2 linked regions of the Neurospora crassa OR74A genome follow. The protein of the gene in region 2 purifies or fractionates together with the protein of the main gene of each other region. This does not show direct contact. Links are inferred from orthologs where the notes say so. Each region holds a gene or a part of one and is shown on either strand. Other genes may lie near its edges. The genes, in order: scon-3 and cul-1.

Evidence for each region.
Region 1: the proteins of cul-1 (region 2) and scon-3 purify together in Schizosaccharomyces pombe (affinity purification with western blotting; 5 studies listed by BioGRID, with this or other methods). This does not show direct contact. The link is inferred for Neurospora crassa OR74A from reciprocal best matches to the Schizosaccharomyces pombe genes cul1 and skp1.

Annotation. Positions count from the first base shown.
Region 1 is NC_026503.1:4,146,896-4,153,789, forward strand, and holds scon-3 (sulfur control-3 protein), read right to left. Parts: upstream 3,965-6,894; 5' UTR 3,758-3,964; exon of another isoform or gene 3,602-3,757; 5' UTR 3,593-3,601; coding exon 3,520-3,592; intron 3,439-3,519; coding exon 3,173-3,438; intron 3,075-3,172; coding exon 2,898-3,074; 3' UTR 2,236-2,897; downstream 1-2,235. Other genes in the region: NCU08989 (ADP-ribosylation factor 1), read right to left, coding at 1-14; NCU08990 (60S ribosomal protein L39), read left to right, coding at 779-784, 1,003-1,103, 1,318-1,366; NCU11399 (GPI mannosyltransferase 4), read left to right, coding at 6,592-6,700, 6,763-6,894. UniProt on the Schizosaccharomyces pombe protein: Required for cig2 degradation in the G2 and M phases of the cell cycle. Together with pof6, essential for septum processing and cell separation.
Region 2 is NC_026504.1:5,759,491-5,766,827, forward strand, and holds cul-1 (Cullin 1), read right to left. Parts: upstream 5,201-7,337; 5' UTR 4,569-5,200; coding exon 4,498-4,568; intron 4,428-4,497; coding exon 4,358-4,427; intron 4,298-4,357; coding exon 4,281-4,297; intron 4,217-4,280; coding exon 4,125-4,216; intron 4,061-4,124; coding exon 2,169-4,060; intron 2,107-2,168; coding exon 1,918-2,106; 3' UTR 1,567-1,917; downstream 1-1,566. Other genes in the region: NCU05203 (hypothetical protein), read right to left, coding at 6,182-7,278. UniProt on the Schizosaccharomyces pombe protein: Core component of multiple cullin-RING-based SCF (SKP1-CUL1-F-box protein) E3 ubiquitin-protein ligase complexes, which mediate the ubiquitination of target proteins.

The sequences.
Region 1 (6,894 bases), on a different chromosome or scaffold from region 2:
ATGCTCTGACCCATCTTTGCGTGTTGGCTAGTGCCCCGGAAGACTGAGAGCGCGTTGAGTTCGTAGGAGTGTGATGATTGAGGCAGTTGATAATTAGACGGATGAGGAGAGGATTTGACCAGGCAAGGCGATTCCTTGATACAGATCGGGCTCTAACGTGTCGGATCGGGCCGTACTAGTCGATGGAAATGATGACGGCGAGTAGTGTATTATCGAGGAGGCAGCGAACGGAAGCGCGGTCAGCCCAGCTGGTATCTTTCGGATGCTCCCGTGCGCACGGTTGAAGACAGGATAAGCGAGGGTTTGTTGCGCCGTGGTATTGCGAAAAAAAAAAGTGTTTTGGGTTAGGTTGCTTCAAGATGCTCCTCTCGTTGTCATAGAGAGGCCGTCGCTCAATGCCGCCAAAGAGCTCCTTTGATCGTGCCGGCACTCAGGGGTCCCGGGAGGCAAGGCCGCCCCAAGCGCCCAGCCCAACTGCAAACATCCCGGCAATCGATTGGCAGCGAGACGGCACCGTGGAAACCTCCGATAGCCGCTTCTCGTGGCTCGTGCGCCTCCCTTCTGGACCCAAATGGACCTTCTGTCCGGTCAGAGAGCGGACTCCAAGAGTGAATGAGCCTGTGCCACAAGTACGAGCCACAGACACACACGTGACTCAGCCACATGCGCACTTTCGGGCCCTAGTGTTCTGCTTGGTTTTTGAAAGCCCACACCAAATATTCTAACCCACCTCATCGACACCAGCCAAATCGACCGGTAACTCGACAACACCGTCAAAATGCCGGTACGTAACGTCCCACCATGTTGAGCATAGAGAATGCTCGGAATCGCTCTGCTGTCGAATTTTTGGCCGTCCTGCTATGCCAGAAACGGCAGCGACACGGAATTCCCAAAATGATGATCGCAGAGCGATTGATTGAAGCATGGAGGAGGGGTCCATGACTTCACCTGCTCGAACGACGGCAAGACAAGTTATGCTGACGAGGTGCATCGCGAAAACAGAGCCACAAGACCTTCCGTGTCAAGCAGAAGCTTGCTAAGGCCCAGAAGCAGAACAGGCCTATCCCCCAGTGGATTCGCCTCCGCACTGGCAACACCATCCGGTACATATCACCATAAGCGCCCATTGCTGTCGCGTTCAGCCAGAGGAGAGGGAGAGGGATGGATAGTGACGGGGATGGTGGTGAGGGAAGCTGGAAAACAAACCAGCTGCCTCGGCTGTACCCGGCGCAACATGCCCTCTCGCGAGCTTTCTGCACTCAAGAACGCATGGCGACTGCTTCATCATGACGCTGGATGCTAACAAGAGACAACTAGCTACAACGCCAAGCGTCGCCACTGGCGCAAGACCCGTCTCGGCCTCTAAATGCTCTCACGATTCTTCCATATTCCACCCCCAACGATGGTCTTCTTTTCCTGGTTGCTCTGATCCACCTCCATTTTTCGAAAACTGGAGCTTGGGAATGCGACCTATGACGGCAACCTTCTTCTCTCGGCCTTTGTCCTACGAAATTAAACCGATAACGAAATCTTCCCGACCTCCCGCTACGGAGTTGTTTTGCTAGGGCGAAGTCACCGATCACCAGCAAGCACGAAGGAGAAGCGGGCAAGGGCAACCAGGAAGCAAATACCGGAAGATGATGTGATCACAACCAAGTTCTGGCTCGGCGGCGGTCGGTTCTCAGCTGTGTTCTTTCGGCGGGGGGAAATATCCTGGAACTCGATCCTTGTTTTGGGGGAACGTAAACTTTCGGAGTACTATGCTTTCACGGCAAACATTTAGAAGGACGGTTACTGGGGGAATTAGGATCTGAAATGAGAGAAAACGTGGTGCACGAGAGTTGATTCCCATATTTGTTCTACCCATGTTCTCGGAACTGTGCTACAAAATCGGTCTATGTACCATGTCGTGTGCGCATTATATCAAGGTCTGTGACACCGAGGGGGCTTGATCAAAAGACGTGGGCAATGTCCAAATCAGCCCGCCTACGTTCCATCAACGACTTCTGTACCCTTGGCTTGTATAAAGCGAGTAAAAATGAGCCATGATATACAACTTGGGTAAGCTCCCTCCTAGTCTCTCTGCAATCTGGACCATTAGTATGTTGTTTGTGTGCATGGGCAACTCCATGCCATCCTTGCGCCTGGCCATGGTTGAGTTCAAAACGCCAAATTGTCAGTGAAAAGGGCGGTTTCTGTACCTACCTGTTTTACCGGGAGCGCTCTAGCATGGAACAATGGAGGGTAGTGTGGATGTTGGCTGACTTTTCTTTCCCCTACTCTAAGGCCCATTTCTTCCTGGTGACTCCGCGCCTTGAACCATGAATAGCTGCCACGAAACAGAGGGTCGTTGTTGCTATCATTAGACTACAGTTCACATGATGGGCGTATTAAGCGAATACGAGGTGCCAATATGTAGAGTATGTTGGTGGTAAAGGGGGCCATCATGGCAACAACACGGAACAGAATCGTGACGACGTTGTCGGCCTTTACGGTGAGGACGTTCTCAGACACGTAAGGACCTGATTCACAAACTGTATCATCATAAGAAAACCCTCGATTCAGCCTAAGAAAACAAGGAGCCGTAGAAAAAAGCTAGAGAACAACGCCTCTAAACGCCTGCCAACGCAAAGGTACGATCGAACGTACTGAGTGGAAGAGCTTCGTTTGTGGCCCTCCCAGGAATGCCCAAACCGTATCACGTCGTCGTCGAAATGCTGTCGATAACACGAGATGTGTTTGATATCCATCTCCCAACATAACAGCTCTCCCCATATCCATCAAACTCGGCTAAAGTGTGCGTTCCGGTAGACGAAGCACAGGGGTAACCTCTGTCGTTGGCAGACGGTGATCCCGGCGTTGCAAAGTGACTTGACGTGGAAACTGGTCTTGATCGGCTAACGGTCTTCCGCCCATTCGTTCTCGCGGCGAATCTGCTCCTCCTCCTCTGGAGTGAAATCATTTGTGATATTGAACGTCTTTCGAATCTCCTCAGGGGACTTGCCCTTGATCATGTTGGCAACGGTCTTGCATCCAACATCAAGGAGGGGCTTGATGTCCATGTAGTTGGCAGCCTGGATGAGGAATATGTTAGCATGATCTGACCCTGCAGAACCCGAGTGATGTTTGCATATCAAGTAGCATCGGCGGGTAGAACGAGGGAGAAACCTACGAGAATGATCTCGAAGAGCATCTCCTGGTCAACCTGCATGAACTTCTGGTCCCATTCGTCGATCTCCGTGCTCTTCTTACGGCTGTCGTTCTCGTCCTCGGTAGTCTGGGGCGGGTCCTTGCGGTGGTGCTCGCACCACTCGACAACCTTTCGGAGGACAGGCTCGTTGACGTTTGGTAGGGGAATAGCCTCGTTCATAACAGCCTCGTCGCCCAAATCCTCAATCAGGTTCTTGATGAGAAGGGATCGCTCGGCAACAACACGATCTGTGTTTGACGCCAGTTAGTCGGCTGCAGTCGCAGGGAAAGAAAAGGAGACAGGCCGGGTGGCGGGGTGATTCTACTCACCGACGGTGATGATTTGGCCATCGTTGCTCTGGAGAGATACCTTCTGGAGGGCACGTTCGTCGTTCTCCGCCATGTTGAATGTCTGTAGTCGTAGTCTTGACGTTAGAAGATACGTCGATGGATGTTGATGGGTTGAGTTGGCTGTCTATGTGATTGATGCTGGTGGTGTAAATGATGCAGAGAGGGGATAGTTCAATTGTGGGGGAAAAAGTGGGAGACGGTGTTGTCATATAGTTACCTGTTTGCGCAAATTCAAGCTCAAATGTAAAAGTGACCTTGCTCTGAGTTGCAGGAGGTTTGGCAATAATGAGAGAAGGAACGCACGCGGTGTGATTAACTGGCTGCAGTGCGTGGTTCTTATGGTTTCCCCGTGAAAGGTTGCCTGTAGTTTGCTTGGGCTAGTGATGAAAGTACAGACGGAGGTCCGCGTGAGTGCCCGTTGGCGGGCGCAGTCGGTCCTTCCAACAAACGAATCGCCTCTGCCTTCATTTTGTGGAGCCCGCTGCACGCAGTCCAATTGCGCGCACGTAAAGTGCGTGCATAGACCACCTAGCAATCCTGGCGCGGCCCCTCAGCTCGTCAGCCTTCTTGGGTTGAAATATAATGGGGTTGGGTGGTCAGTGCCCAGGCCCTGCCTGGAGAGACGGATGGACTTGCTCCAACACGGAAGACGCAGAAACGCTCTGGAGAGAGAACCTGACCGTTCACGTGCCGTTCCATGTACTAACCTTTGGCACCACGCAGCTCCCATCAACGGAACGATGGGACATTTGCACACCAGTGATTAGATGTAGTATTTTGAGTCACGAAGAGACGATGTGGGGACCGTCGTTGGCGTGATCTGGGGACATTCGAAGCTACAGATGTCTTCATGCTTGCAATATACACAAAGCATTGCATTGGATAGTAAAAATAATCAAAGACCGGCACATTCCACGTACACACGAATTAGGTTCATTGACAGCTGACTACATGCGGTTTCCCACACGGGGACTATGCGTTTTTCCAGATGCTTTATATTCACTATGTATGTTCCGGCTTAGGATGATACGCCCGCACGCCCGGTAGATTTTACCCACGCTTGTAAGTTGGATGTCGGGATGTCAATAGCTTCAGTTGGAAAAGCTCCTAGATGAAGTATATACATGATGGACAACTACATAATGGTACCCAAAATTGTCCTCTGCTACTCTGGCTTTTGTTGCTATCTTGCATCATTGATACGGATTGTCAAGTAAAGGAATGCAGCTTGAATGTGACAAAAGCTGCGGTACCTCCCGTCCAACGAGCACAGAAAATCAAACTTCCGTGGGAGGAAGGACAAGGGGTCAACATGAGGGCCTATCAATATTCAAGGCCGCTTTGCTGGAGATTTATTTCACACTAACAGACCAGGACATCTTTTGCTTACCATCTGTCCGTATCGCAGTATGATGTACATTCAGATCACGAAGGCGAAATGTCAAGATTCCAAAGCTGTGTCCCGGCGCGAATATAGGTACAAATAAAGCTGTACATACATACTATGTAACTCGTCATTCATCCATGGTCCGGCTCGCGCAGATCGACCAGTTGCTGCACCCGTGCGGGAGGAAATTACCAAAGTACCTAGACTCGCGCCAACGACGCCAACGAGCCTGCCGACTGGCCCGAATGCGGAGGCGGGCTATAGACAGACTACCCCTTCTCCCTATATCTAGACTACTTAACCACTTAGGGCATGGTTCTAAGGCATCTGATCTATATTCCCATTTGCTAACATCCTACAGTCAGAACTAGGCCAAAGTCTGTTAACCACAGCCGGTCATTTTCGAAAATTCTTCCAAGAAATAGTTGGTCACCTTTCTAGTCATAAGGCGATGCACTTTCACCATATACACTCCCTCCAAAAGAAAAAAAAAAAAAAAGATAGCCTTACGCCGGGCCAGATGCAAGATTACAGCCAAGCGAACATTTCAACATCCCTAGATATTACTACGGTCCAAATGTCATATATTGGAATGCGTCTTCCTTCCTACCTAAAGACTGAGGATTTAGTGCACTTTAACCGATTGCGAACCTTATTTTTTGTACGGCGGAAAAAGGCTCAGAAGCCTTGCCCAAAGCGGTTAAGTAGTCTAGATATAGGGAAGGGGGGTAGTCTGTCTATAGCCCGCCTCCCGAATGCGGACGGACAACTGCGTGGGGAATCTGGAGATGTCCTCACCCCACCTAATTTGAGCTTCAAGAATTCCAGAAGCCTTCCTTTCCGATCGCAGCAAGCAAGTCCGAAGCTTGTCAAGATTCAAGCAATAGTACCTGCAGGGGCTCGCCGCGAAAAGTCGCTCATCACTAGGTACCTACCTTCACATATGACCCTGCCGTCCAGGAAAAGTTGAACTCTCAGCTGCTTGCTTCCTTCGAAACTCGTGAATACTTTCATCTCAAAGGGCCTTGCGAGACATGATCGCTCGTTCCTTCACTGGAGAACACCTGGACGCCGGCTGACGAGAGAGGCGTGATGCTTTGTACTAAGTAGTGCGGATGGTGACACCATGAAGCTGGATTAGGTGCCCCTGGTTACAGCGATGGTAGCGTACAGGAGAATTGCGGGAAAGGCGCGTTTGCATGATTCAAACGGACGGTCGGATCCAATTCTTTAGCGTGCCTGAGGGATGCTGACCATCAACCCCCCTGTTCGGAGCTGTTCGCGGACAGGGTTCGCTCCTACGCAGTAAAGGTAGAGGTACCTGAGATCTGGCACGATGCCACCGTCCACTCCCGGTCCCATGGGCAATTGGGCATTCCCTTCTCACGAATGTTACAGGCCCATCCCTTCCAGGTTCCTTTCTGATTACCACGCCCAAAGATTCTCCTCGTCGCTTTCGGGTTATGTTTGAGCGCGTTCTCTCCCCGACACGCCATCATGCCGTTATTTTAATCACAGCGACTTCCCTCCTCAACATTTCCATCCGGTGATGCCCATTTAGCTTCCCGCGAGTTCTAGTAGTGCCTCGAACGGCTGCGTGCGCCCCAAAAACGGATGCTCACATGGGTCGCGAATGACTGCAGTCGCAGGATCACGAACTTGACATGTTGCGGAGAACATACCTTTTCTTGGTGTTGGTAAGGCTCTGGTTTGCCTTATCACCAAGCTATCTTCACCCAGATGAGAACTTTCAAGGGCCAGAGGTTATAGCCGGTATGTTTGTATTTGCACTCCGCAGACTGTATGGCGCATTGCTAACACTCGTCGCGCTTCAGGACAGATCTTTCATTATCCCGTCCGGCACACGTGGGAATTCACAAACGAGCACCCGATCCGTAGCGTTTTCCCACTATGGCCCGTATATGGGCTGCCGATGCTGCTTCTTCGCTGGCTATGGATCGGAAATG
Region 2 (7,337 bases):
ACATCGGACACTTGACCGGTTTCGAAAAAAAAGCATACCAATTCACGCACACTTCCCCTTCTCCACGAATACTCTCGCTAACCCATGCTCCCTAAAATCGATCAGTGGACCAAGCTAACCCCTACTGAACTAACAACACTACACCACACCACAAACAGCTACACTACAAACAACCACGGGCCGACTGCCTGTCGAAAGACTGTACTGTACCTGTTTTGTGCACCCGGCACTGTGCCAAACGCACAATGACTTAGTACTAGGTCGCCTTCCAAGTCTAATCGAGCCCATACTCCGATATCACCCATCGTAGATCATCATGGGATAGGACCTTTTTTTCCGTCCAGCACCAGACGCGCCCACAGCACGCCCCCAGCACATGACATTGATCTCTCGCTTGTTTTGATGCTAAAAGGGCGGAAAAGGGACTCAAAGAACCAAAATGGACTAAAAAGGCTTTAAAAGGGATTAGATACAAATAGGATGTCTCAGATGTCGTAACAGTAATTCGTTTTGTAGCCTGGCCGGAACTTGACTACACTACACTACACTACACTAGGTACAGTACACGCTAAGGTGACGAACAACATATGTAAAGGGAATCAAACCAGCATAAGAGATGAACTACCTAGCTATGTTAGCTAAGTATGTGGGTATACAATTTGGAACTGACGAGTAACTCCGTTTCCGCACCTCGCTGGGATTATGAGAATACCTACTGGTACCTACCTACACTATGGTAGGTGCGTGAGTGCCCGGCCTACAGACAAGAGGGCGGAAACGAATCCGAGAAGACACTACCTACCTACCTAGACTAGTCTAGGTGACTGATTGACACATGGAATGGAGCGAGCGGAAAGGCTCCGAGGAAAGAAAGAAAGGGAGGAAGAACGTAACATGGCGACTTTCCCACCTCATAATACCTAGGTAGGTACCTAGGTAGGTAGGTACCCAACACCCAGCAGCAGCAGCGCTCACCAAGGGGCAGTAACTGTGTAAGGTACCTAGTCAAATAATCCGGTAATCAACTTGTCCACCAACTATCTTGGCTACTTACCCAAAGTCCAGTCACCTCAGTTGTCGTTGAGTTGCAGTATACCTAGGGACAGCTTCCATCATCATGCTTGAAGTTACAAAGTCACTACTTAGTTATCGGTTTAGGTAGGTAGAGGTAGTTAGTGTACAAACACCAAGGCTCGAGCAAGGTTCGTTCATTCCCTTCCCTGAGTGAGAGTCTGGGCAGTTTCTAAAACAACCAAAGTGATCTAGAGGTAGGTACCTACCTACCTTGGGATTTACCGCAGTGAGTGCATACCGTAAGTTACCTCTAGTCAGTGTTGTGGCTACCGTACATGGAGGTATCTGTACCAACATAGCTACTATATAGAAGGCAGCATAGAAGTATCGCTTCATAGCCTGGCTTCGTTGGGTCGGGTAAAGTGAAGATTCGTTTCTTCTATTACTACCTACTACCTAACACGGTTATGTTTTCAGTCTTCACCGGCGTCAAACAACTTGAATCACTTCTACAAAGACCAAATAGAAGCACATGCAGACAGGGACTCATAATGGGGTAATAGTAAGTATGTGTGATCTGTAATGGTATTTGTCATTAACTCTTTGTCCTTCCCCTTCCCAAATCCTTCTGCTAATCTCTATTCTTCTTCTTCTCAACTTCTTCAACCTTCCAGCACACCCTCTCTCTCGCTTGAGATCACAAACTAACAAACAAAGCACGCTGGTTGTTCAATACCGGTATGTGTGAATTCTATCGAGGCTAGTTAATTCGTACTTTTTCCCGCTTGATCATTGTTAATTTGTTTACCCCGCACGTTGTCTCTTCTGGTGATAACCGCTTCAGTACCCAGACTCCGAGGTTGTTGTATCTGTGGTTGGTCCTACCACAGCATCAGAGACCACTTAGGCAAGATACCCAAGCTCATCATCCTCCAACCGCTCCAGGTACTCTTTATCGAGCAAGATCTCAATGCACTTCTTGATGTCGCCAATCTTGGGCATGAATCGTGCCTTAATCTGGTTGATGGTTTCCGAGACAAGCTGCTGGTGCTTCATCTTCTTGCGCGCCTTCATGATACGGACGATAGCGGACTGTGTGGTTTCTGCGTTAGCTTTCTAATCAACACGCTTACTGGGTGTAGGGGGTCACACACCTGCAACAGCAACTTGCGATCCTCCTCGATCGTCTTGTTCGTCTCCGCCTCCTCCTGCTTGGTCTCACTCTTCATGCCCACATTCAAATTGATGCGATACTTCTTGTTCTTGAAGTCGTAGTTGAGCGAAAACGTCGCTCCCGGTCCAATCTTGCCACCTTCTCCACCCTCCGCGGTAAGAACCTTGGCCTTGACCAATATGCCTAGGGCGCCTTCAAGCACGTCCGCGTTGAGTTGAGTGATGCTCGCAAGCTCCTCGAACGTGTACTGGTCCTTCTCGTTGAAAAGCAGTAAGATGGCCATCTGGTACGCCGACACGCTAAAGATATAGGGCATCTTAGCGCCCTTCATATAATTCGCCTTGATGTCGCCCTTGCACAGCTGCCACAGCCAAGTGAGCTTGCGGCCTTCGTGCTTGTTCTTGTAGAAGCGGGTGAACCGATCGCAGTCGGCCGAGATCTCGGCGGGCGCAACAAAGCTGGTGTTTGGCGGAACGAGCGGCCAGAAACCGGTGCCGAGGATAGAGTACGTCGAGTCGAGCGGCTTGCCGTCCATGTTGAGGGAGGCGACGTGCTCCTTGAAGCCTGTGTTGAGATCCTTGGAGATCTGCATGTCCTGGAACATGCGTTGCAACTTGTTGGTGTATTCGAAGCCGCAGGCCTCCTTGAGCTTGGAAATCATCGAGGTCTCGGCATCGTCCGAGTTGGAGTTGCTGTGTACGAGGCGGCGCGCCAGCATGCGTGAGTAGAACTTTTGAAACACGTCCTTGTCCTGGATGTACTTGAACACAGTCATAATCTGCGTCAGCGTGTTCTCGAGCTCCGCCTCCTCCACTCCGGTGCTGCTCTTGCGGAGAAGCACGTCCGTGTACTTGGCCAGCAGTTCCGGTGACTTGTTGGAGCCCGATTTGCAGACCTCGTTCCGGTTCACAAACTCCTTGCACGCGTTGTCTAGAGATCTGGTGAAGTCAGGCTCCTTGTTGAAAGCGCGCTCAACTAACCCCTGGTACTGAGTGTGGATCTCAAGCAGAGCGTCGACGTAGACCTTGGGCTCCAGCTTGTCGGCGTCTGCAGCCACCTTGGCAACAGCCGCCAAACCAGCCTTGCGAACATGGGCCTCGAAACGAGTCCGCAGAGGCTCCAGACCGTCGGGAATGCGAGAAAGGAGGCTGTACATCCGCCTCATGTCGTCCTCTCGGTTGTTGTCCAGCAGGGCCTGGAATTCTTCACGCAACAGGGTAGAGTGCTCCGCGATGAGGGCCTGGTTGCAAGTCCTCTTCAGATGTAGGGCAATATCTGGATGCAGATACATGCGTACGCGCTCCTCCTCCTCAGCCAGGCGAGCCTCGGCCTTCTTCATGTACTCGACAACGCTATTCTCGGCCACGAACTGTTTGCTTTCGTTTTGGTAGAAGACTTTGGTCGCCTCCAGGAACGGCCTTTCAAAGTGGTACCTATACACTTCCAGCGTCGTCTTGGTGTTGTCGCCTTCGTCCATACCGAGTGAGACGAAGCTATCGACCACCTGTTTGATCTGGGTGTACTCGATGGTTTCACCGAGGCGTTGCCTTTCCACTAGCTTGAGAACGGCGTCCATGACTTTCTTAGAGACAGCCTGGAACAACACGTCACGCCACTGAACAAGGTGGAGCGTGTAGACGTCGTAAATGTTCTTTTTCCCTTCATCCATCTCGCGCTTAACCCAGTGTCTATTCAGGTACTTGAAGAGATGGTGGATATACTTGGCGGCGTTGGTGTAGCGTTGCCATTCGCGAATGTAAAAAGCTAACAAGGCCTCGTCCTTGTGAGCCTCCGCTTCGGAGACTAGGTGCTTAAGGTGGTCTGTCAGGTAGTTGGCCAGCTTCTTGTACAAGTCCTCACCAAGCAGATGGGCTGGTGCATGTTAGTCCTCTTGCTCAATCTGTTTAACGGGCAAATGCAGGGAAAGACAACATACCCCCTCTCTGGGCCCCGATTCCCGGAAGGTGATTACTCGGACTGCTGCTACCGCCGTTGGCCTTCTGCGATGTGCAGAAGTTGTGCACCGCCCTATGCCGCAGTTAGTACCATGTTGAAGGAGTGTATAGACAAATAGGGCATCCGTCCAACTAACGTGTAGATTCCCATGTACTACAAACGGCGTGTGTTAGCGGGGGGTAACGTGGACGGATGGGCGAGGAAGAAACATACACTGCTCATGTCGAGGCCTTCTTGGAGGTTGGTCATGATCTTGTTGATACTAGACTGCAAGTATGGCCAACTGATTGGCAGAGGGTCAGTACGGCTGTTTGGAGGCAGAGGGGCCAGCAGCGAAGAGAGCGAAAACATACGTGCTGTCGATACCATCACTGCCAGAAGGCTGCTGCCCGTACGCCCCCATCATCATGGTTGCCGGAGGCATGTTTGTTGTGTCTATGTGTATGTTCGTTTGAAGAGCGATCGTGCGCCGGGAATCGAAGAAAGAATGCGATGTTGGGAATAATATGCCGGCTGACAAGTGGTGGTGGACGAGGGGCGTAATCCGTGAGAAAACTCAAGCTGACCAGGTCGTGTTGGGTCGCGTGTGTTCGTCCAGAGGCTGTCGGGGGGGCAAGAACGAGTTTGATCTGGGCGACCGGTCGTTCTTGAGGTTGGAAGCGCGTTGACTGCGACCGGTGACGAAGGGTAAATGGACTGGGTGGCAGCCAGAGGCGTAGAAGTAGAAGCTCGTCCTGAGCGATGAGGCGCGCCACAGGTCTGGAAGGTCGGATGGATGGCGGGGGTCACCACGTCCTTAGGTCCGTCGGTGTCGGCTGGGAGAAGGACCGTGACCGTGAGCAGACAGACAGACGGGTTGATCGGATATCGGGTCGGGTGAAGAAAGGATTGTTCCCTTGGAGTGACGGGTGTGAGGTCGCAGCCTAGAGGTGAGGTGTAGAGGTAGGTACCTTGGCTGGTTGTTGTTGTTGTTGTTGTTGTTGTTGTGGTGGTGTTCTGACAGGTTTCAATGTTCTGTTCTGAGTGTAGGTAATCAAGTTGAAGAGTGGAGTTTCCAGTTTCCAGATTGGCCCCCCGAGGCTGCTGCTGCTGCTGCTGCTGCCGTGGTCGATGCCCGGATGATAGAGCGATGCCGTCGTTCGTTGACGGTTTTCAGGCTGCAGCGGCGTGGCAGGCATCGATTGACACTGACAGCAAGCAGCATGGAGGCTCCAGAGCAGTGGCCCCCCCGCCAGTAAACGTCCACCGCGAACACGCAAAATTGTGGGGAACCAACCATGGACGGGAAAGTGGCGGGGATGGAGACGACCTATGCCCTGCGATGCGGGACGGGCGACCATCTAGTGTACATTCCGTCATTACCGGTACATCTAACAATGGCGGCTAACAGATCTGATGAAGGTATGTACCTTATATTGATATAATACCATGTTTCTTCTCAATATGAATACAATAACCGGAACTGAAGTAATAAAATATGGGGATGGCACATATGTACAGCTGGCGGGGCATTTTACATACAAGAAAGCAGAACAGTGACAACGATGTAGCTACTTGTAGGTAGAGGTAGGTCAGCCGTTTACAGCCCCTTTAACCGCTAATGTTGTAGAAGGACACCATTGGTGGCCAGAATTCGATTAAACTGCATGTATTTTTCTGCTGGGAGCTCACGGCAGGCAATATGATATCTCCTTACCATGTCAAATCTTTCGCTATCCGTTCCCCTTTTCATGTCTCATAATGCATATACAATCGAGTAATAATCATCACCATCCTTGCTAATATCAACATCACCAACATTACCAACTGATCAAACACTATTTGTTACCGCTGTATGCTAATTTGCTAATCCAAAAACCCCACCCAAAAGAACACAGAGGCAGAACCGTGCTGAGGTATCGACAAAGTACGAGAAAATGCAAGTAAGTATGCTCCCATGCGGGTGGTTGGAGACGTTCGACGTGATTCATCTCCCCCGCTTTGTTTTTCTTTCCCTCTCAATATCCTTCGGGGCTTGACCGCCCATTATAACCGTCATTACCTTCCCCTCTGAGTCTCCAAATCATCTCCGCCTCCCAGCTTTACTACCAGCCTAAACACATTGACCGTAAAGTTGGTCAACCAGAAAAAAAGCCCAAGCAGCTGAAACGCGGCCAGCGCCTGGCTGAAATGGTCCGTGAAGCGATCTTGACTGTTATGATAAACCAACACCTCATATGCCAACGCCGTGCTGGCCGCCTTGAACACGATGAAAAACACATCCATCAGCACCAACCCGCTCTTTTGCGTCACCGGCCTTAGTCCCAATGGGCGGCCCGTGTATTCGTCCCAGAGCATGTACCCGATATAGGGAATCGCTATCGTGTCCACCGCAATCGCCACTATCGCTTGAGTCCGCTCTGACGACCCGGGCGAGATCTGTCTTATCAGGGAAAGCTCTTGGTCGACGTATCCTTCGGAATTGGAGGCTGAATGCAGGGCTCGTAATCGAGCGAGAATCTGATTCTGTAGTTCTTGCTGGTTGGAGCGCCGCCGACCTTCGAGCTGGTAGATACGAATCGCAAGGGCGAGGGCACAGATGGAGGTGATGAGTACGAGGGACCGGAAGAGTAACGGCACCAAGGGATGGCGGAGGACGTGCTGCCAGAGTCGCTTGTACAAGGCCGACCTCCTCCCGGTGCGAGACTTGTAAACGTCTTCGGATTCGGGCAGGTGCACGGGCAAATTCAAGTTTGGTTGCAGCTTCTCGAGTGTTTGGTAGTCGACCACTTCCGACTGCTCATTCGGCATGTGGCCCCACTGCGACGAGTGGATGAATTCGGACCAGGGCGAGTTGGACGTGTAGTGCGCATTCCGGTGGAGAATGACGGGTTCGTCCGTTCGGAGATGGTCCCATTTCCGGCCGCGCTCCATGCCGTCCCCGCGTCTCAGAATCCGCCGCAGTTTCATCTTGGAATCGTTCCTCCGCTCTAGCCCATCTGGTTCGTACACGAATCCATCTTTCGATACCCTTCGTGGTTCGGTTGGCGTGCCGTTGTGTTGTGGCTGGACTGTGCGTGGGGGTGGTCGGTTCAAGATCCCCCCCTGGCCGGTGGACGGTTGTCCATATCTCTCTTCATACGAGTCGATCCATGCTACATGACACGAGTTAGAATTCAGAGCAACAGAACCACATATTCTGATTTATTATTGT